4 linked regions of the Saccharomyces cerevisiae S288C genome follow. The gene in region 2 interacts genetically with the main gene of each other region. Each region holds a gene or a part of one and is shown on either strand. Other genes may lie near its edges. The genes, in order: COM2, PAN1, SLA1 and BUD31.

Region 1 (4,608 bases), on a different chromosome or scaffold from region 2:
GCGTTACCAGAGCCAACCCAGGTGAGACTGGATGCTCCATAGATTCCAAGATTTACGTAAGAATTCAAAATACAGCCTCAGTTATTAATAGTTAAAGCACCGCTATAAAGGTGGTGAAAAAGGCCACGGCACAATCCACATCGACCCAGGAAAGCATCTTACACAAACTTTGTGAAAAACGCCCCGGATAACTAGAGTTATTTTAAAACACAGATGTTACACATGAACTATAACCTATCCTCATCGACTGTAATAGTTGATGGGGATTTTGAAATAAAAAAATGAAAAGATCAATGACAAAAAAACTACAGCGAAACGAAATAAACCTTCTTCAAATCGACAAGAACACTTCTATTTATATAGGTATGAAAAGGAAAAAGTGAAAAAAAAATTTCTCGACTGCTTACAAGGTGCCGTAGGATACGATTAATTCATCGCACGTACGCCAGTAGTACGGATACAAATACAGCTGCCTACTGTGAATTGAGTATGAACGAAGTTACATGCGCAAAAATTCTATTCTTGAAAATATACTATAATCATATTATTAAAATACACAATTATAAAAGACAAAGCCTCTATTAAAAAAAATAAATGACACCTTAATCAGCGAGCGTTTGATTTATATTATTCTCTCATCATATTTACAAAGCTTTCTTTGCGGCAGCTGCTGGAGAAACTTTGTTATCCCTGTTAAATCTTGGTCTTTGTGGAGGAGCTCTGTTCTTTCTGTCTTCTCTGGATCTAACTCTAACAATTCTGGCGTGAATAGCACAGGAGACACAGTAGTGCAACTTGTTGTAAGTCTTTGGCAAGGCGTATTCTGGGTAGACAGAAGCTTCGGACAAATCTCTGACGGCAGCAGCTTCAACAATGTTTCTAATAGCCATTCTCTTGATAGCCTTATCCTTTGGAATGGACTTGGAACAGTTAACACATCTCACTGGCTTGACGTGACCTCTACCCTTCTTGTTTCTACCGTTGGAAGCTCTCTTTTTTGGCATCTAAAAATTACATACAAATTCAGTAAATTGAAGTTAGTAAAGAGGAAATATCGAAAATACTGAATAAAACAAAGGATTAATAGAAACGTCTATGCCTTATTGCTTTAAAAAATTTTCTTGCCTCTACCATTTCAGCCATCAATGTCACCCATCTTTTGTGGATTATAGTGTCGGTATGAATATCAACTATTGACCAGCTATTGTTTTACAATTTACTACCGCCAATCCCGGACACACCATAATTTGCTTGAAACTATTGCAATTTTGTTGGTTGAAAAATTGGCTTTACGGCAACGTCATTCTTTATAATTCTTTCCTTCCACTTTGCTCCTTTATCACATTATTCGCTCTTATAACATACTTTTCCTGTTTGATTATGTGTATTTATCTTTCTTTTTGAAAGTAAATTGAGACACGCTTAAGAGCAAGAATTTAAGGTAAATATCACTATATAGATAATAAAACACTCTGTTATGTTACGATAGACGCCTAGCGTTATTTCCCGGTGCACGATCGAATGCTGTCAATACTATCTGAAATTTCATGCAAACTGCGAATGTGAGATGCCATCGCGCGAAAGATCTCAAAAAAACACAACACGATGAAAAGAACGCAATTCTTCTCAAAAGAAAATTTAGTAGGCCCCATAATAAGGTTGGGTGTAGAAGGTGTACGGAGGTAAATATGCAGCAGTCCTCTTATTATAATTTTGATCAACCCCAGAAGATGCCGAAAAGGCGCGGCTGTCAGTTTTAATTCTTGATTATCGAATGATAGAAGGTTCGATATTTACGCAAGGAGGGAGCGATGAAACAGATAACTGCCAACATTGTATTCCCGCATCTGATCGTCCACGGAATTAATATAAGAAAATACGCTATTAAACTTAGCAAGGAATAAATATTATATTCAAGCCATCTCCTTTACTCTTTTCTCTTGTTTTTCAGTGTTTTTTTTTTTTGGCGCCTGTCATACCCCTTTCTCCATTCCGGGAACGCAGGGAACAGTGAATTCACACTGCCAAACACCTATGAGGTTATTGTATACATATTATCCATAAACACCTCTGTGCTTGCAGCAAGTCAAGCCATTTCTCTGACGGAATTTCTTATAGCAGTTGTTGCTCCATGCGGATATACTTGTTCAAACGTGCATAGCCGCCCGGCGTTAATCACACATGGCCCAATTGGGTGCTGTTTTTTTACATTTACGGTTACGAGTGCGACGCTTCGGAAATGGAGCAAAAAATTTCAGCGGATAACCCACGGAAAGGTGGCTTTTACTGTTCCGAGGGCTTTTGCCCAAGTTGTTGCCCGGCGCGGTTCCTAGCGTGGCCATCCAAGATATATATAGATAGCTGAATGGGCGACTGAGAGCCATAGGTAGCATGGGCTGGCTTCGAGCAAGATGATGATTTTCTGTTTTGAATTTGTACAGTAGGCCTGCTAGACTTCATAAACTATCCAGGGACAAATAAAGCTTTACGATAACATAGACAGACAAGCATGTCTTTATACCCTTTACAAAGATTTGAATCAAATGACACGGTTTTCAGTTACACTTTGAATTCTAAGACTGAGCTGTTTAACGAAAGCCGCAATAACGACAAGCAACATTTTACCCTTCAACTCATACCAAATGCCAACGCCAATGCCAAGGAAATTGACAATAATAATGTAGAAATTATCAACGATCTAACAGGCAATACTATTGTCGACAATTGTGTAACTACAGCTACTTCATCAAATCAGTTGGAGAGAAGGCTTTCGATATCCGACTATCGTACCGAAAACGGTAACTACTACGAATACGAGTTTTTTGGTAGGAGGGAACTTAACGAACCATTATTTAATAACGACATCGTAGAAAATGATGATGACATCGATCTAAATAATGAAAGTGATGTATTGATGGTTAGCGACGACGAGTTGGAGGTAAATGAAAGATTTTCCTTTCTCAAGCAACAGCCTCTTGACGGGCTGAACAGGATTTCCAGTACTAATAACTTGAAAAATCTGGAGATACATGAATTTATAATAGATCCAACGGAAAACATTGACGATGAGCTTGAAGACTCTTTTACCACTGTGCCCCAATCTAAAAAAAAAGTTAGGGACTATTTCAAATTAAACATATTCGGCAGTAGTAGCAGTAGTAATAATAACAGTAATAGCCTTGGTTGTGAACCCATTCAGACCGAAAACTCTTCCTCGCAGAAAATGTTCAAAAATAGATTCTTCAGAAGTAGGAAAAGCACTCTAATCAAGTCTCTTCCTCTTGAGCAAGAAAATGAAGTGCTTATAAATTCAGGGTTTGATGTTTCCTCTAATGAAGAAAGTGATGAGAGTGACCACGCGATAATAAATCCGTTAAAGCTGGTGGGAAATAACAAGGATATCTCTACTCAAAGCATTGCTAAGACAACGAATCCATTTAAGTCTGGCAGTGATTTTAAGATGATTGAGCCAGTTTCAAAATTCAGCAATGATTCGAGAAAGGACTTATTGGCTGCCATATCAGAACCATCCTCTTCTCCTTCTCCTTCTGCACCATCACCTTCAGTACAATCTTCCTCTTCTTCTCATGGCTTAGTGGTGAGGAAGAAGACAGGAAGCATGCAGAAGACGCGCGGAAGGAAGCCCTCTTTAATTCCGGACGCTTCCAAGCAATTTGGTTGTGAATTTTGCGATAGAAGATTTAAAAGACAAGAGCATTTGAAGAGGCATGTCAGATCTTTACATATGTGCGAAAAACCATTTACATGCCATATCTGTAATAAGAACTTCAGCAGAAGCGATAATTTGAATCAGCACGTTAAAACTCACGCTTCCTTATGAAATTTTAAAGATACGGAAATTGCAAATTGAAAAAGTTTAATGACACTCACCAGTAATGATTTTGAAACGAAAAGGCACTTCTCAGGGTGAGACGAAGAAACGAAAAGTTTTCTAAGCACAGATACACTTCTCTCGCCGCCCTTTTAATAATTTAGAATAAAAATATTATAGATTTATAGATTATATTATGCTAAACTAAAAAGATCTACATCATATATTATTTTTAGCCTGTTAATGATATTAAGTTCATTGCAAGAGGATTGTAAATCACATGCATTTCAAATACAGAACTTATTTTAACATACACATATATGCGTGCATGTTGGCAAGGGTAAAAAGTTAGAGCTTTCTACCATATATCTGATTAACATCGTAGTCCGATGGAAATTACTTTGAATTTTACACTCATGGAAGTGCACTCCTTCTCTTCTCTTCATTTAGTTCAGCGACTGTTAAAGATCGCGATCTTTCATGGGTCCTTTGTTTTATAGCGCCATTTTCTTGTCCTTTATCACCATGGCAGCTGGTATTTCTAGCATGTTCATCATTACCAACATTAGTACTCATGGTAATACTTGCGTCCTTTCGTCCTCTTATTTTATTTGAAGGTATGGATCTCCTTCTGCCTGCATTAGTGGAACTTAGAGCATCTTTTAACAAGTCCCTTGAATAAAGAACTTTATCGAAATTTTTGTCCTTTCGATGATCGTTATTACCGTTAAATTCAACGATATCTGTTAAATTTGAGGTTTCCGTCGTAGCTTTCT
Region 2 (7,968 bases):
TGAAGTCTTTAAGAAAACTTTCAGAACCAAAGTCGAACAAGAAGAGGCACAGATCTTTGAAGAACTTGTAGCAGAAGCTACAAAAAAGAAGAGACATACATGAAGTTAGCAATCATCTCTTGTATATTAAAAATTCAAAAATTCACTTTTTTTTATTATCTGTATTCAATATAATATAATGTATATAAGATCACACTAATACTGATAATTCTATTCTTGAAAGAAAGACAATAGAACAATAAAGAAGTGATTGAACTCAGTGACAATGATAATTTATGTGATAAGGAAGTGGTTATGGCTGGAGAATTATGCCACACTTAAATGATAAGCTCTTTTACCTTTCTGGGTTTAGGAATTTTTTGAGATTAATACAGATAAAAAAAAATAGGCCGAACATTAATTACTCATACAACTCAAAAAGTGCAGCGTGCAATTCTAGATCAAGAACATAGATAATATAAACAAAATAACAATGAACAAAATTCAGCAAATCAACGATAAAGAACTACAAAGTGGAATTCTTAGCCCGCATCAATCATGGCATAATGAATATAAGGATAATGCTTATATATATATCGGAAATCTCAACCGAGAATTAACAGAAGGTGACATATTGACAGTCTTTTCTGAATATGGAGTCCCTGTAGATGTAATTCTTAGCAGGGATGAAAACACAGGAGAATCGCAAGGTTTTGCATATTTGAAATATGAGGATCAACGGTCAACGATTCTAGCAGTCGATAATTTAAATGGATTTAAAATTGGCGGTAGAGCCCTCAAAATTGATCATACTTTTTATAGGCCAAAAAGGAGTTTACAAAAATACTATGAAGCTGTAAAGGAAGAATTGGATCGAGATATAGTTTCGAAGAACAATGCTGAGAAACTCATTTTGGCTAAAAAGGACCAACCAAATTAAATAATTTTTTCTTTCATCGCATATCTTATATTCATATAGCCTAGAAAAAAATAATCAATATCATATTTGTAATTCTACATCCTTTCAGAAATTAGTATACATACGTATCTATAGAAAGCAAATTAAATCTTCATGGAAGGGGTGGGGGTGGAGGAATACCTGCAGGTGGAATTGATGGGATACCTGCAGTAGAAACTGGTTGTGCCCCTTCTTCCTCTTCATCTGTACCAACTGATTCAGGAATCGATAAAACGTCATCATCAGAATCGGATCCATATGCGCCCGTGCCTTTTTCAGCACCATTGTAGTTATCAACGTGAGCGATAATAGGTTCTGAAGTGGAAGCTTGTTGAGTTGGTAAAGGTGGGGGTGGAGGCAAAACGCCTCCAGCTAAAGCTGGGGTGGAAGAACCCGATTTTTGCACGGCAGTAGCTATTGCAGGTGCTGAGGGAATTGGAGGTTCTTGAAAGCCATCAACAGCAGGCAAAGGGGGAGCCAACGGGACGGGTGGCTCCTGAGTAACAGAAGGTGGTATCGGAGCTATTGGAATAGGACTACTCTTTTCATTAGAGGTATTCGCCTGAGGGACAGGGACAGCAGGTGGAACAGGGGTAACAGACGGCAAGGGAGCAGCAGTAACAGGTGGAGCACGTGCATGATCAGGATGACCAATCTTTGCTTCTTCAACCTTATTATCTACAGCTACGCGGTTATTACTCTCGTCTTCATCAGACCATCCATCATCCTCGTCCTCATCCAATCCTCTTTGGATTCTTCTTTGCATTTCTGCAGCGCGAGCATCGAAAGTAGATGTAGAGCTAGCTGATGCATCCTTGAAGTATGGATTATGGCCCATTGTCGTGGAAGGCAGACCAGTACTGTTCTTACCTGCGGCAGGGGTAACAGCAGCGTGTACCGAGCGAGGAGCATTAGTAGAATTTTGCGAAAAAGCTGCAGATGGTGCCACTGGAGCGGCCTGAGGAACGTTCACATGGCCGCCAAAGTTGTCTTTTCCGTTTGTCTCCTCTTCGTCACTTTCATTTTGAGCATCCTCAATTTGCTTACGTAAAGCTGCAAGTCTTTTTTCTTTATCAGCCTTTTTTTTAAGTTTCAATCGTTTTAGCTCCTCTTGTAAACGCTTTTCTTCATCATCTTCATCTTCATCATCGGATTCTTGCTTTGCATTATATACATTCTGAACAGGTTGAGTTGGTTGAACAGGTTGAGTTGGCTGAACAGGTTGAGTTGGCTGAACAGGTTGAGTTGGCTGAACAGGTTGAGTTGGTTGAACAGGTTGTGTTGATTGAACAGGTTGAGTTGGTTGAGCGACTTCCACATATTTTTCTTCTTGGAATGGAGTTGCTCTAGGTTCAACTAAATTGGAAGAACCAGCAATCTGTTGTGGCTGTTCTCGAGAGTTTTCACTGCTAATCGATCTGGAACTTTGAGTAACATTTCGCCTATTCTTATCAAATTTAGCTAATTTTTCCTTCATTCTCTTTTTTGCCTGTTCTTTCAGATAAGCTGCTCTTTCTTCAGCAGTTTTGAACTGAGAATAAGAAGGCGACGAGGAACGGTCATCTACAGGGGTTGGTGTTGAGGAAGGCACAAAGGGAGATGACTCAGTCACTGATTTATTTGAATTTGACTTCAGATCATCCAAAAATTCACGAACACCATCTTCTAACCCTATGCCAAATTCCCATCTTTCAAATTCTTGATTGGATATCATATTCGATCCTGTCATAGTAGACTTCAAGGATGCAGAAATATCTGATATAGATGACCTTATGTCTTTAATGATTTCTTGGTTCTTACCATTTTCCTGCTGGATTCTCTTGATTTCAGCACTTTGCTGTTCATCTTCCATGGAAAGTGAATCCTCCGATTCCGTTGATTTTCCTGTTAGAGCAGACATCCTTGCTCTCAACAAAGCCCTACTCTTAGCTTTCTTCCTATCATTTTCAGTTATTTCACCATTTGGACCAGATCCAATTATCGAAGAAGGATTTTTTTTTCTATACAACTGAATTTTTGCATTGGTAATCTCATTATCAATTGTAGAAATTTCATTGAATAGGTTTGGAAGTTTGGCGATGATGGCATCAAAGCGGCTTGTCAAATCTGATGGAATAGAACTGTCATAACAGTTTTCAGGATTGCTGATATTTTTGATCTCATTTTCCAGTGAAGCAATATTTTTCAGATTTATTTCTCTTGAAAACCCAGCATATTTTGGTTTCGCTGTCTTCTTTTCAACAGTCTTATCTACCGAAATGTCATCGGTTTGAAGGGTGCTGCTAGAATGATTAACAGATTTAGCAGATGGTGAAGAAAAAGAAGATTGCTCTTCATTTTTCGCAGAGTAAACCTTCCTACGATTTCTATAGTTCGGCAAAACATCATCATCATTATTTTTGTAGCTCAAGGCATCGATTTTACCAAACGAAGGTTTTTCTTTTGTGGTCGTTGGCTCTGTCTTTAATTGGTTCTTTAAGTTGTCTAAAAGTTTTGTGCTGGAGGGAATTAAACTTGAAGGTAGGACATTGGGGATTGGCTTCCCGTTTAATTTACCGTAAACCAAGTGCATACCTAGTGCAAATTCTTGTTTATTCAATTGGCCGGTGTTGTTTATATCACAAAGGTTCCAAATTTGCTCCAAATCTGCACGATTTAAGCCAGATTTTCTAAAAATCTCCACAGCAGTGGGGGAATCTAACAAACCTTTGTTTTGAGTATCAAAAGTTTCAAAAATTTTATAAAACAAAGATTTTTCCTCCGTGGAAATTTTGTCTTGACTTGAGTTATCAATTAAGTTATTATTAAAGTTGGATTTGGTATAAATTTCGTTATTACCAAATCCTGTCTTTTGGGCAGTCAACGGCATGGTAGCACTAAAGTTAGATGGTGGTAGAAAACCCGTTGGTTGGGGTTGCAACCCGGTTAACTGAGATTGTAATCCTTGTTGATTAAAGGACAAATTGGGCATACTTGCAGGACCGCTTTGCTGGGGCATAACGGAACCATATCCTCCGGTATACTGAGATTGCAAAGCACCGCCGGTCAACTGAGGTCCTAAATTAACGCCAAATGAAGTCTGTGGCATCATACCAGTTGTCTGTGGCATCATACCAGTTGTCTGTGGCATCATACCAGTTGTCTGAGGTTGCAAAGCATTGCCAGTAATGTTGGGTTGCATAGAGGCAGGTGCTCCTCCAGTAATTTGGGGGTTCAATCCGGGAGTTCCGGTATTCATTGACATGTTGAAAGTGGTTGGTGCCATAAATCCTGTGGATTGAGGATTCAACGCCGAGGCAACACCGCCTCCAGTAATTTGAGACTGTAATGGGATACCAAAACTAGTTTGAGGCATATATCCTGTTGGTTGAGGTTGCAAATTTTGTACGCCCGCTGTAATGAATTCATCAAAGGGAGTTTTTGGGGCATCGTTTGCGGAAGAATCCTGGTTTGCAATGCTTAAATTAATGGCGTCAATAAAACTTGAAACTTCGTTTTTTGTCTTAGAATCCAATTCGTAAGGGATAGTGTCACCTTGTAAGACATCATTGATCAAATGCATTGCTAATGCAAATTCAGGAAACAGTAACTCACCTGCTTTTGATGTATCACAAAGCGTCCAAATTCTTGCGAGTTGAGAAGGTGGCAAACCGGATCTCATCAAAATTTTCCTACAATTAGCACCGGAAACAGTATTCGAACCATTGGTAACAATTGATCTGAATAGAGTCTCAAATTTTGCCTGATCTTGGGCAGTAATAAACGACAATCTAATGGCAGGGATTTTGATATCATTGTTTAGACCGTTGTTGGCAAATGAGTTGACAAAGCCAGTTGCGGTGGGCTTTAATGGTTCTAAGGGAGCTTGGTTTTGCGGTTGAAGGTAAAATCCTGTTTGCTGCGGCTTCAAAGGTTGCAAGGACTGTGCTTGCTGAGGAGGTGGCACCTGTTGAGGTTGAGATTGATAATAACCAGTGCCCTGGGCCTGAAGGGGCTGCTGGGTTTGATTAGAAGAGATCAAATTGGGTGTAGACACATAATATCCTGTCCCTTGAGATTGCAAAGGTTGTACTGAGTGTACATTTGCAGTATTAGCAGCTTGGTAATAGCCTGTTCCTTGGGGTTGTATGGATTGTAGCTGAGGCTGTTGAGCCGGATTAGGTGGAGGCATGGTGCCAGTAGTATTCATCATAGGCATACTGGAATTTGGTACGTATCCCGTATGCTGCGGTTTCGCCTGCTGTTGTTGCTGCTGGGGTTGTTGGCCAAAATTACCATTACCATATACACTACCATTATTTCCATTATTATTGTAACCCGTTTGGGGCTGCTGTGGCATACTTGAGAAAGAATTACCAAAACTTTGAGGCATCCCACCAATTCCGGTAGCCTGAGGCTGGTTAAACGCCATTTGCTGTTGTGGTTGAGGCTGGCCTTGGGGCTGGTTTGAAGACTGACCTTGCTGCTGCTGCGGGTAGAATCCATTTGGTTGTTGCTGCTGTTGCTGCTGTTGCTGCTGGTAACCCATGCCCTGTTGCTGGTACGGGTTATACATATTCAGTTGTACAGATTAGCAATTTCGCGTCGCTGATAGATTCTTCCTCTTCCTGCTTCTCGACGTGTGTTTCGCCAATAGATCTATATGGCTTTCTAATGCTTTTTTTCTTCCAATACCAACTTTTGCCCCTAACAAGAAAAAAATATCGTCGACGTGTCATGTGATCAAGCCAATTTATAATAACAAGCGATTGATAAACAGAGTATACATAGCTACTATGCGACTGAGAGATCAATCGGTTATCGTGAGCACCTACCTTTAAGGTTTAACAGATCTGGACGTGATTTTTTTTTTTTTTTTTTGACGAACCAGATTGTCAAATAAACATTGTTAATTGATGAATTTTTAATATCTGCCCAATTGAAGCATAAAAAGCGTCTTAGGAAAGCATTCGTTAAATATCTCTACTGTTGGTAAGCAGGTACTTCAGTAAAAAACCATATTAAACCCAAAATTATCAAATTAGTAGTACATAAGATCGAAGTAGAAAAAATATAGATTATAATCCGATATAGTGTAACGGCTATCACATCACGCTTTCACCGTGGAGACCGGGGTTCGACTCCCCGTATCGGAGTATGTTTATTTTATTTTTTTCATATCCGCTCGAATATTGCCTTCGTTTAAGGTTTCTATATCTCTGGTAAACCTTAACAATGGAATTAATATTAATTCTATATTTCGCAATAATTCTACTGACAGTTATTTTCTTAACCTTTCTTCTCTTTTTTTATTTATTTATTTCTTTTTCTTTCGTACCTAAATTGTTTGAATTTAATAAGAACAGATCATATGCCTGCCAAAATACACATTTCTGCAGACGGTCAGTTTTGCGATAAAGATGGCAACGAGATCCAATTGCGTGGTGTCAATTTGGATCCGTCAGTTAAAATCCCTGCAAAGCCATTCCTATCCACCCACGCTCCCATAGAAAATGACACGTTTTTCGAGGATGCTGATAAAGTCAGTTTCATCAATCACCCCTTAGTTCTTGATGATATCGAACAGCATATCATCAGATTGAAATCACTGGGTTACAATACCATTCGTTTACCCTTCACCTGGGAATCTCTTGAACATGCTGGTCCAGGACAGTACGATTTTGACTATATGGATTATATCGTCGAGGTACTAACCAGGATTAACAGCGTACAACAAGGTATGTACATTTATTTGGACCCTCACCAAGACGTCTGGTCTAGGTTTAGCGGTGGATCTGGAGCACCGCTATGGACCTTATACTGTGCAGGGTTTCAACCTGCAAACTTCCTGGCCACCGATGCTGCAATCTTACATAATTATTATATTGACCCCAAAACGGGCAGGGAAGTTGGCAAAGATGAAGAGTCCTACCCTAAGATGGTTTGGCCTACAAACTACTTCAAACTGGCGTGTCAAACAATGTTTACGTTATTCTTTGGTGGGAAACAATATGCTCCTAAGTGCACAATTAATGGAGAAAACATACAGGATTACTTGCAAGGAAGGTTTAATGATGCAATCATGACACTGTGCGCAAGAATTAAAGAAAAGGCTCCTGAGTTGTTTGAGAGCAACTGCATTATTGGATTAGAGTCTATGAACGAGCCAAACTGTGGTTACATTGGTGAAACAAATCTCGATGTGATTCCGAAAGAGAGAAATTTGAAATTGGGCAAAACGCCAACGGCATTTCAAAGCTTTATGCTGGGTGAAGGTATTGAGTGCACAATAGATCAATATAAAAGGACATTTTTTGGATTTTCTAAGGGAAAACCGTGCACAATCAATCCCAAAGGCAAAAAAGCTTGGCTGAGTGCAGAGGAAAGAGATGCGATAGATGCGAAGTATAATTGGGAAAGGAACCCTGAATGGAAACCAGACACTTGCATTTGGAAACTCCATGGTGTTTGGGAGATTCAGAATGGTAAACGCCCTGTTTTACTCAAACCAAATTACTTTAGCCAACCTGATGCAACGGTATTTATAAACAATCATTTTGTTGACTATTACACTGGAATTTATAACAAGTTTAGGGAATTCGATCAAGAATTGTTTATTATAATCCAACCGCCGGTAATGAAGCCACCACCCAATTTACAAAATTCTAAAATATTGGACAATAGGACGATTTGTGCATGTCATTTTTATGATGGTATGACACTAATGTATAAGACATGGAATAAACGAATTGGCATAGACACCTATGGACTAGTAAACAAAAAATACTCAAATCCTGCCTTTGCTGTAGTGCTTGGCGAAAACAATATACGGAAATGCATTAGGAAGCAATTATCAGAAATGCAAAAGGACGCTAAATCCATGCTTGGAAAAAAAGTACCTGTATTCTTCACCGAAATTGGTATTCCATTTGACATGGACGACAAGAAAGCATATATTACAAATGACTATTCTTCACAGACCGCTGCATTGGATGCTCTTGGATTTGCATTAGAAGGAAGTAATCTTTCGTACACCTTATGGTGTTATTGCA
Region 3 (7,064 bases), on a different chromosome or scaffold from region 2:
GAGTCTCTGAAAAAAAATCTCCAACAATTTGGGCTATCGCTAACTCACCATATTCAATAAGCCTGGACAATGACAAGTTTTTTAGCTTGGGCGATGACGGTGATAAAGAGGACGTACCAATTTTCGTTAAAAATTCTTTATGGTTAATGAATCCCATGTCCCTGAAATCCTTCGGCAAGAGACAATTCATTTGATGTTCATTTATTAAGGATAAATCACCAAGATCAGTTAAAAAACGCTTTTCCAGACTGTATATTTTCCACCATATTTTTCTTCTCCGTTCGGCAGTATTTTCGTCTATTCCAACATAATACTCCCAACGAGACAATCCCATCTTAGTGGAGCATGTAACCGCAACTTCTAGCATTTTTTCAAATCCAAAACGCTCATCAATTTCATTTTGGATTTCTAGCAATGACACTAAAATCTCTAGGTAATCTAAAGTGTTTATGTCCAACATGTGATATAGGGTAACATTGTAGTATGCGTAACAAAGAGTAGATAGAAGATATTCTGATGAGCAGAATGACGAGAATAAAACACTCTTTTCTTGATGGGGCAAGGAGAAAGCTTGGTTTAAAAATTCCGCAAAGCGCTTCCTATGTTGAGCATACATTTGAGTAACTATTCGAAACATCGAAAATGAATCATGTAAATTTTCTATCAATTGAGTAGTCGTAAACCCGGTAATCGATTGTATAAATGGCTGAGGTAGTTGATGAATAACAGAAATGACTAAATCGTTAGATAAAGGTGCTGGGGAAGTAGGCAAACTAGCAGATGCCGTCGTAGTAGGAGTTTGCTTTATTTTTTGAAGATAGTTCTCTAATGGATTAGAAATAGAGATGCAACCTTGGATCAAATGTTCATAACACAAATCAAACAATCTTAATATTAGATAAATAGTTTCCTTTGTATCTATTAACATCGATGAACCCGTGTTTTCGATATTTTTTTTAATTAAATATCCTATACCTCTTAGTGAAAAAGCCTGTATTGGAGAGAAAAGACCAAATACTTCATCTACTAGTGGAGTGGTGGCTAGAAATGAATCTGGACTTTGTGATTTAACCATTTGGTCTGTCCAAAAGGAGAACCTCGTCATGTGTATTTTATTTCTATACTTGTTGGTTAAAAGATACGTTTCTATCGATCTTTGTGGGCGAGGAGAGAAACTGGAAAGCTTGGGGTAGTTTATTTCGGGATTCCAACTGTTAATCAGGTTATTCAACTGCGACTTCGTTTTATCAATCAAGAGCTGAGTGTCATCACAAGGCGGCAGAGCGTACAAATTTGTCAGAATATTTTGATACGTAACCAGTTGATTTTGATATTTGGAATCATCTTTAAAGAGAATATTATTATCATTAGTAGGATTATTGGAAGTATCAGGAGCATGCGTCGCACTCGGAGAGACTGGAGTCTGTATCAGGTCGTTCATCAGTTTGAAGTAATATTGATTATCTAGCTTAATCGCAGTGTCCAGATGCTGTACATCTGCTGAAGCCTCTACATTGGCGTGGGAAGAGGGTGGAGCAACAGCTGTAGTAGGCAAAGACTGGGAACTATCCTCCTTCTGCGGTAAATGTTTTTTTAGGAATACACACGTACAATCGTAAGAAATGCAGTTGGTACATGGATATTTACCTGTGCATTTGATTTTCCTTTTTCTGCAATTGACACATGCTGTCGAAACTTTTGATCTAGTTGATTTCTTCACTTTCATTGCGGTCACGCAATAAGAAAAAATTAATAAAACTGCTGATGCAGTTGTCGCCTAAGACCTATGGTTGCTTTGGAAGGCTCCTGAAGACACAAACACAGGAAATACATAAATACATTAATGAGATTCTATAACAGTATCTACATATTTGCATTCTAAGACTCACTGTGATAGTTCATTTATTATTCCGCGGAAAGTCCGAGCGGCAGAGGAGGCAGCTCCGCGGAAACAAGGGCAGCGCCTGTTGTTCTGGAAGAAAATGAAAAGTGAAATGCAGTTGTCGTGGAAATAATGGCTTTACCTGAAAGCAGCAGAGCACGGTGTTAACAAGGAATAGCTGAGAATGAGTGGAAGTAATATGGGATACTATGACGTACTCGCAGGGCTTTCAGCGCTGGAAAAGTCATCCCAGGTAGTGTTCAGTGCGACTGAGCTTCAACAGCTTACGCAACAATCTCATGCTACCGACAAGGGCATAGAGGGCAGTGAGAATAGTAAAGCGAAGGTATCCAAGCCCAAAAGAGTAGCTGTACATGGTTACCTAGGCGGTAAAGTGTCGCTCGCCGATGCGGCACAGGTGGAGTATGAAGTAGGCCATTCACTGCTGGGCAGTTATGTGCCACGCCAGCAGTTGGAAGCCCTGTCAAGTGTCGACTTTTCGCACCATTTCCACCGCACATTAGAATGCAAAGCTGCTCTAGAGACACACGATGTTTTTCTTGCCGGCGCAGGACAATTGTCTCTACCCTTCCAATCACACATAGAGAGCCCCAGGAATAGCGAGGCTAAAAGGAAAAGAAAAGTGATAATATGCAAACGGTGTCAATCACGATTTATAGGTTCCCATAGGCGGTCTCAACTTAGAGAACATGCCTGCGTAGATTAAACCATGTAATTGATAGAGGTAGAATGTTGCTTCGTAGAAAGTGACTATACGATTCCTAAAAGGGGCTTCCTTCCACTCATGCGAAATCGAGATACATCAGACGAAAACAGAACGAATATTTAGCGCATATATACTATGTATATCTATTGCAATCCTAAAAGAAGGGATAGTGTAACATAGCCAAGGCGACAGAGTGTGTTATATACAAAAGAGCTAGAGTATGACTGTGTTTCTGGGCATCTATAGGGCCGTCTATGCCTATGAGCCGCAGACACCAGAAGAACTGGCCATCCAAGAAGACGATCTGTTGTACCTCTTACAGAAGTCAGACATTGACGATTGGTGGACAGTAAAGAAAAGAGTCATTGGTTCCGATAGCGAAGAACCGGTGGGTCTAGTGCCCTCCACTTACATTGAAGAAGCTCCTGTTTTGAAGAAGGTAAGAGCCATTTATGATTATGAACAGGTGCAAAATGCTGATGAAGAATTGACGTTTCATGAAAATGACGTTTTTGATGTATTCGATGATAAAGATGCTGATTGGCTGTTGGTTAAGTCTACCGTTTCCAATGAATTCGGCTTCATTCCAGGCAATTACGTCGAACCAGAGAATGGGTCCACTTCCAAGCAGGAACAGGCTCCCGCTGCCGCTGAAGCTCCTGCAGCTACTCCTGCAGCCGCTCCTGCTTCTGCTGCCGTACTACCCACCAACTTTTTACCACCTCCTCAACACAATGATAGAGCTCGTATGATGCAAAGTAAAGAAGACCAAGCTCCAGATGAGGATGAAGAGGGCCCTCCTCCTGCCATGCCTGCAAGACCAACGGCTACTACCGAAACTACTGATGCCACCGCTGCGGCTGTTCGATCTCGTACAAGACTATCATACAGCGATAACGATAATGACGATGAAGAGGATGATTACTATTACAACAGCAACAGCAACAACGTTGGAAATCACGAATACAATACAGAGTATCACTCTTGGAACGTTACCGAAATCGAGGGAAGGAAAAAGAAGAAGGCCAAGCTATCAATCGGTAACAACAAGATAAACTTCATACCCCAAAAGGGGACTCCTCATGAGTGGTCAATTGATAAATTGGTCTCTTATGATAACGAAAAGAAACACATGTTCTTGGAATTTGTTGATCCATATAGAAGCCTTGAATTACACACTGGTAATACCACCACATGTGAAGAGATCATGAACATTATTGGTGAATATAAAGGTGCTTCCCGTGATCCTGGGTTGAGAGAAGTCGAAATGGCTTCCAAATCCAAAAAGAGAGGTATTGTTCAATATGACTTCATGGCTGAATCACAGGACGAATTAACCATAAAATCAGGCGATAAAGTCTACATTTTAGATGATAAAAAATCTAAGGACTGGTGGATGTGCCAACTGGTTGATTCAGGGAAAAGCGGTCTCGTTCCTGCACAGTTTATTGAGCCTGTTCGTGACAAAAAACATACTGAATCTACAGCAAGCGGTATCATCAAGTCTATCAAGAAAAACTTCACCAAATCTCCATCTAGGTCGAGATCTAGATCAAGATCTAAATCCAATGCCAATGCCAGTTGGAAAGATGATGAACTACAAAACGATGTTGTAGGTAGTGCTGCCGGTAAAAGGTCAAGAAAAAGTTCATTGTCCTCTCACAAAAAAAACTCTTCGGCGACCAAAGATTTCCCCAATCCAAAAAAATCGCGTCTATGGGTTGATAGAAGTGGTACTTTCAAAGTGGATGCAGAATTCATTGGATGTGCTAAGGGGAAAATCCACTTGCACAAGGCTAATGGTGTCAAGATTGCTGTCGCCGCTGATAAACTATCCAATGAAGATTTAGCGTATGTGGAAAAAATTACTGGGTTCTCCTTAGAGAAATTTAAGGCGAATGATGGGTCTAGTTCCCGTGGCACTGATTCAAGAGACTCTGAAAGAGAAAGAAGAAGGAGATTGAAGGAGCAGGAGGAAAAAGAACGCGATAGGAGATTGAAAGAGCGTGAATTATACGAATTGAAAAAAGCCAGAGAACTCCTAGATGAAGAAAGATCAAGGTTGCAAGAAAAGGAATTGCCTCCAATAAAACCACCAAGACCAACCTCTACTACCTCCGTTCCAAATACGACGTCCGTACCACCAGCCGAAAGCAGCAATAACAACAACTCCAGTAACAAATATGATTGGTTCGAATTTTTCTTGAATTGCGGCGTTGATGTAAGCAATTGTCAAAGATATACAATAAATTTTGATAGAGAACAGCTTACTGAAGACATGATGCCTGACATCAATAACTCAATGTTAAGAACCTTGGGTCTGCGCGAAGGTGATATTGTTAGAGTAATGAAACATCTTGACAAGAAATTTGGAAGAGAAAATATTGCATCAATTCCTACAAATGCCACTGGAAATATGTTTTCACAACCTGATGGTTCATTGAACGTTGCTACAAGTCCGGAAACCTCACTGCCTCAGCAATTGTTGCCACAAACAACAAGTCCTGCTCAAACAGCTCCTTCCACATCAGCTGAGACAGATGATGCTTGGACTGTTAAACCGGCTTCTAAGTCTGAATCTAATTTACTCTCTAAGAAATCAGAATTTACTGGTTCCATGCAGGATTTATTAGACTTGCAACCTTTAGAACCTAAAAAGGCAGCTGCCTCGACACCTGAACCAAACCTAAAAGATTTGGAACCCGTGAAAACTGGCGGCACCACTGTTCCTGCTGCTCCGGTTTCATCTGCTCCGGTTTCATCTGCTCCCGCTCCATTGGATCCATTCAAAACCGGTGGCAACAATATCTTACCCTTATCTACTGGCTTTGTGATGATGCCAATGATTACTGGGGGCGATATGCTGCCTATGCAAAGAACCGGCGGCTTCGTTGTACCACAAACAACTTTTGGTATGCAATCGCAAGTTACTGGTGGTATCCTACCTGTTCAAAAGACAGGAAATGGGTTAATTCCTATCTCTAACACTGGCGGCGCAATGATGCCACAAACTACGTTCGGCGCAGCAGCTACCGTCTTACCTCTGCAAAAAACTGGAGGTGGCCTAATACCAATTGCCACCACAGGAGGTGCGCAATTCCCGCAAACTTCATTCAATGTTCAGGGGCAACAACAACTTCCAACAGGTTCAATATTACCTGTCCAAAAAACTGCTAATGGATTAATTTCAGCTAATACTGGTGTCTCAATGCCAACTGTACAAAGAACAGGCGGCACTATGATTCCACAAACATCATTTGGCGTTTCACAGCAATTAACAGGTGGTGCAATGATGACCCAACCTCAAAATACAGGGAGTGCCATGATGCCTCAAACATCCTTCAATGCTGTACCACAAATTACTGGAGGAGCAATGATGCCTCAAACGTCCTTCAATGCTTTACCACAAGTTACAGGGGGAGCAATGATGCCTTTGCAGAGAACTGGTGGTGCTTTGAATACATTTAATACTGGAGGCGCCATGATTCCCCAGACTTCGTTCAGCTCTCAAGCTCAAAACACTGGCGGGTTCCGGCCGCAATCCCAATTCGGTTTGACTTTACAAAAAACCGGAGGTATTGCGCCATTAAACCAGAACCAGTTCACTGGTGGAGCCATGAATACTTTAAGTACAGGGGGCGTTCTTCAACAACAGCAACCACAAACGATGAATACCTTCAATACTGGTGGTGTTATGCAAGAGCTCCAAATGATGACTACTTTCAATACTGGTGGTGCTATGCAACAACCACAGATGATGAACACATTCAACACCGATGGAATTATGCAACAACCACAGATGATGAACACTTTTAACACTGGGGGTGCTATGCAACAACCACAACAACAAGCATTACAGAACCAACCTACTGGATTTGGGTTTGGTAATGGACCTCAACAATCAAGGCAAGCCAACATATTCAATGCTACTGCATCAAATCCGTTTGGATTCTAGATTAATGTATTTTAAGATTTTATAGGATAATAACTAAAACAAGCTATATGAAATAGTTTCGTACAATCTGTGCTTATACTCGTGAAAATGGCAAATTTCTCTTTTTTTTTTTATAAGTAGTTATGTATGTATTTTACTAATTTTAATATAATCGTTCTCAGTCCCAATAATGTTTTATTGTCATATTATACTAAAGTTGAAATGGTGGAGTCGACCCTAAGAATTTATTTCTTCCAGACAGAGGAGGTGTGTAGTCACTTTGGTTCCACTAATAGACAACCGACATTAAAATACTTCTGATCTGTGCCTTCAGAAAGCTTCATCTGTAACCGCTTGTCTGTATGAGTCGTTTCAAATGGTAACCACTTAAACAATGCGAATACTACAATGATATTTATAAAATATAGACGTAATTATGAGGGAAAAAACTTGTCCAAAGGAAGGGGTATAAGCTTATTATTTATATAACGACCAACAACCCAGATCCTTAGTCCATTTAT
Region 4 (3,898 bases), on a different chromosome or scaffold from region 2:
GATTTTCACCTTTGAAAAATTTTGTTTCGGCACCCGGTCTGACCTCCCAGAAATGACCCTTACCATCGCAGGACTTTTCAGTCTTGATGAACGCATCATTTAAAGACAAGTTATGTCTTATTGAATTTTGCCAACTAGCATCTTTCTGCTTGTAATAAGGGAAGTGAACGTGGATCCAATGATATATCTGGGATAGCGTTAGCTTTCCCTCCTGAGATTGCAAAATGGCCAAGCAAATCAAAGTTGCATACGAATATGGAGGTTTCTTGGCGAGTTCACCATTTATTCTTCTTCTTTCCAAAGATTGAAGAATTTCTTCCAAGGTTAGGTTACCATTGGACCGAGCGCATGTGTCCGATCTTTGGCGCTTGGCCTTAGATGGAGCAATTGGGGACGAGTGATCCGGTGAGAGGGGATGCGACGGCCTCTTATTTACTTCCTTCATTGTTTTTCTCACAGTTGAGCTCGGGGGAGTAATCATTTCCTTTTCGTCTTCTAGTGTTCTCTTGGCTTGGGTTAATAGCACGGTGCTTTTTTCCGTTAAAAAACTATTATGGCCATCAATGATGGATATGTCTTCATTCATCATTGAAAAGTTGGAATTTTTGTTGATTTTTTTTTTTTTTGCTTCGAAATAAGAGGTAGTTTCGGTCAATAAAAGAAGCTCAAATAGTAGATGTAACTATAATAAAAGGGGGGAAAAGAATAGAATACGATTTAAAGCGTTGGAACCTCTGTTAAGATATACTCTATATGATTTTCAATTAATCATGCAACATATATTTAAAGTTTGAGAAGGATCAAAGGGCACCGTAAGGGAGGAGAAGAAGTAATTTTTTGATTTTAAATGAGGACGCGTTTTAGTCAGTGTTTCAGATCCTTATTACATCCACAGGTTTTAACGCGTTATCTTTGTTCCGAAAAAAAAAAAAAACGGAAAAATATATTTTTTCGCGTCGCGTTCTCGCGTCTGTTTTGTTTTTTCGCGTTCCAATGACCAAAATGGGAAAGTGGTCGTCTTTGACGAAGGAGACGAAAACCTCTTCTAAAACGTTGGGAGAGAGATAATTACATGGCCAGAACAATACTGCAACGTGCATATAGTCGTTAGTCTGTGCTTGCACATCCACGGCAGCCGCAGTGGACGCACTGATGGAAGGACACCTGTGTGCCCTTTTTGCGTGCTTCTTCCTCTAACTGTGCACGAGGCACCCTGCAGATGCAAGTGCTACCGTTGTTAGTTTCGTTCTTTTGAATGCAGCGCAGACAGCACAGTTTTTCATACCCGGTTTTGCGCCATTTGGCAATTAGCAATTTATCAGCATACTTTTCCTTTATCAACCAATCGTAAAGGTCTTTGGAGATGGCCTTTCTCTTGTAGTACAGAGTATATATGTATCTAGAGCGCTGGTGGTGGAGTTGCATTATCTCCCAGAGCTGCTCATTGGACTTTGCTGCGAGCTTAGACGACTTGTCCTTTTGGGCATCTCTGAGTTGGATTTCGAAATCTGTGAGGGTTGGCTTGATTTTTTCGAACCCGTCAGGTGCAGGCTTGGATCTTCTGGTCTTTATGCGCGGCATGTCGTTTTGTGAGGTGAGCTTTGCTAGTCTTGACGGCTGTAGAGGTGTTTACATTGATGATGAGTCCCTAAGAAAATTTTTCTTTTTTTTTCAGTATTTCACTTTCCGTTGTGAACGACAAATGTACTATGCGTTCAAGAGCCAACGCAGTATCATCGTCAAAGTTCCTACCACAACGCGTGTGATTGATCTTGTACTGGTTGTAAATGTGCTAAGTCTGTGACTGCAGTGAATAGGATTGTTTTAATCAACGATGTTATTTAAAAAAAATTAAACGACACCAGCAGGATTTGAACCAGCGCGGGCAGAGCCCAAGAGATAGCCGAACTTTTTATTCCATTCGAGTCTCTCGCCTTAACCACTCGGCCATAGTGCCATTTCGATTTGAAATTATGGTTTAAAGCGGTAGGTTTTATACATGTTTCTAGGCGTTTTTTCACAGATCCAAGACAGTAGAGCAGCTTGGCGTAGGTAGGATGGTGAGTAGAAAAACTAAAAAAAGAAAAAAGGAAGGAAGAACTTATTATACATTATGTAGAGTAACTAATTTTCATGTCTTTTGTGGATTATTTTACATTCTCAGAGAGAACCTCCAGTAGAGTCATTATACATAATATATTCACTTTTATCAGGTATGGGCCCTCAATAATCGTCATTGAACTCAATTCCAATGAGATCTTGCTTATTCATTTTTATAAATTTTGAGGAAGCGATAACGCATTCAGAATTGACTGAATGCTGGATAAACTAATAATTAAGAATTAAAAAGTAGGTGAGGAAAAGTAAAGCATATAAGCTTCTCACTCAAAGATGAGGGGGGGGTGAAAAAAAAAAGAAAAAAGAAAAGCCATTATGGCGGTTAAAGACTGGTTTTCCTGGTTTTGATGAGCCAGTCTTTCCAAATAAATAAAATCATTTCCCAAGCCATCAACAAAGAAACGAATCCAACACTGAGGTTGAAAGTGAACATGGGGGTAAACCCCCTATATTCCATGGCTTCAATGGACTGATCCGTGGACTCCATAAATACCAGACCACCACAGAGGAGACAGAACGAGGTGATCAACTCCGTGAAAGGCTTGGATGCGGCACTGTTGGTGTTGGGCACCAAAAACAGAATCAAAAATGTTAGCAGACGGAAGAAGGACCCATAGGACAACAAGTATCCCCATTGCGTGTGAATGGTAGTAGAAAATTGCGAGGACTGTGCGTGCTGGGACATCAGAATCCCAGTCCAAAATATGGTGAAAGCGGGGAACGGGTTTGGAGAGTACCCCGGTGTGGCAGCAACTACATCGGTCTGTGGCCGTTTGCGGGCATGCTCGAATCGCCAATGGTTGAGCTTGTACTCCGTGAGTAGCCCACACAATCCGGTTCCTATGAACATAAACGCGATCGACACATGCTGTAAATCCTTGGCAGTCCATGCGCCGCCGTTTCCTGCCAGGTGCTCCAAGAAGATGTTGGTGGACCCGTAAAAGAAAATGAGGAAGGATTCAACGAATTCCATGGTGAAAGTCCCCGCAGGAGCAAACCGGAAAAGAAGATTGGAGGAACGCGTTTGTGTGAGTTGAGAGGTGAAGCTGATGTTGTTCCATGCCCAGCCGTACTTAGCTGCGAAACCGCAGTATCTTGCTAAAGAGACAACGCCCAGAGTAAAAAATACGCCGCCCTTAATCCAGTGGGCCAAGAGATTAAAGATGCGGATGCCCTTGCCGAGCAAGTTACCTACAGCGAAGCCGATGATTAGGTCTACAAAGATGTACATGAATAGCGGGTAGGTAAGCATGTGAAAGACCACGTTGGCGACGCACGAGAGGTGCGCGGCAAGCATCTGGTACTTCGTGTTGGTAAACAAGATTCGGAAAACGGGTATGTCTTGAGGAAGCAGAGGTGGCGCTTCAATGGAAGCAATTTCGTCGTCATCATTATCGTAGTCTTCGTCGCGCAAAGTGTCGTGGTTGGAGGTGTTATCACCCTCGTCTTCGCCTTCAGCGCGTCTCCGTTTATTATTATTGGTGGCCGTGGCGGTCGTGGTGTCTGAAGAGAGCGAGAACAACGTGTCTCTGTTGGAAGAAGGACTTGGAGAGCCACGTGCACTATTCACCATGACGGGCGTAGATTCAAGATCATTCAGAGGGATGGTGTCAACCGGACGGTACTCCTTTTTCGATGCTAATGAGACGGGGACAGAAAGCACCGCAGCGAAGAAGTGAACAAGCATAAAAACGAGAAGTAGCACAGAAGTGGTGCCATAGATATTATGCGCATACCAGTCTTCTTCCGGGAAAGTATTTTTGAACACGGACAATGCCAT

The links.
Region 1: mutations in PAN1 (region 2) and COM2 together harm fitness more than expected from each alone (negative genetic interaction), as found in Saccharomyces cerevisiae (2 studies listed by BioGRID).
Region 3: mutations in PAN1 (region 2) and SLA1 are lethal when combined (synthetic lethality), as found in Saccharomyces cerevisiae (5 studies listed by BioGRID, with this or other methods).
Region 4: mutations in PAN1 (region 2) and BUD31 together harm fitness more than expected from each alone (negative genetic interaction), as found in Saccharomyces cerevisiae (2 studies listed by BioGRID).

What each region holds. Positions count from the first base shown.
Region 1 is NC_001137.3:420,348-424,955, reverse strand, and holds COM2 (Com2p), read left to right. Parts: upstream 1-2,509; coding exon 2,510-3,841; downstream 3,842-4,608. Other genes in the region: 40S ribosomal protein eS26 RPS26B, read right to left, coding at 645-1,004; serine/threonine protein kinase SAK1, read right to left, coding at 4,247-4,608.
Region 2 is NC_001141.2:364,417-372,384, forward strand, and holds PAN1 (actin cytoskeleton-regulatory complex protein PAN1), read right to left. Parts: upstream 5,493-7,968; coding exon 1,050-5,492; downstream 1-1,049. Other genes in the region: DJP1 (Djp1p), read left to right, coding at 1-103; U2 snRNP complex subunit IST3, read left to right, coding at 473-919; EGH1 (hydrolase), read left to right, coding at 6,288-7,968.
Region 3 is NC_001134.8:212,132-219,195, reverse strand, and holds SLA1 (cytoskeletal protein-binding protein SLA1), read left to right. Parts: upstream 1-2,829; coding exon 2,830-6,564; downstream 6,565-7,064. Other genes in the region: drug-responsive transcription factor PDR3, read right to left, coding at 1-1,726; LDB7 (Ldb7p), read left to right, coding at 2,067-2,609; HIR1 (Hir1p), read right to left, coding at 7,021-7,064. UniProt on the Saccharomyces cerevisiae protein: Component of the PAN1 actin cytoskeleton-regulatory complex required for the internalization of endosomes during actin-coupled endocytosis. The complex links the site of endocytosis to the cell membrane-associated actin cytoskeleton.
Region 4 is NC_001135.5:226,001-229,898, reverse strand, and holds BUD31 (U2 snRNP complex subunit BUD31), read right to left. Parts: upstream 1,582-3,898; coding exon 1,108-1,581; downstream 1-1,107. Other genes in the region: HCM1 (Hcm1p), read right to left, coding at 1-589; TVS1 (Tvs1p), read right to left, coding at 2,441-3,898. UniProt on the Saccharomyces cerevisiae protein: Involved in pre-mRNA splicing. Important for bud site selection.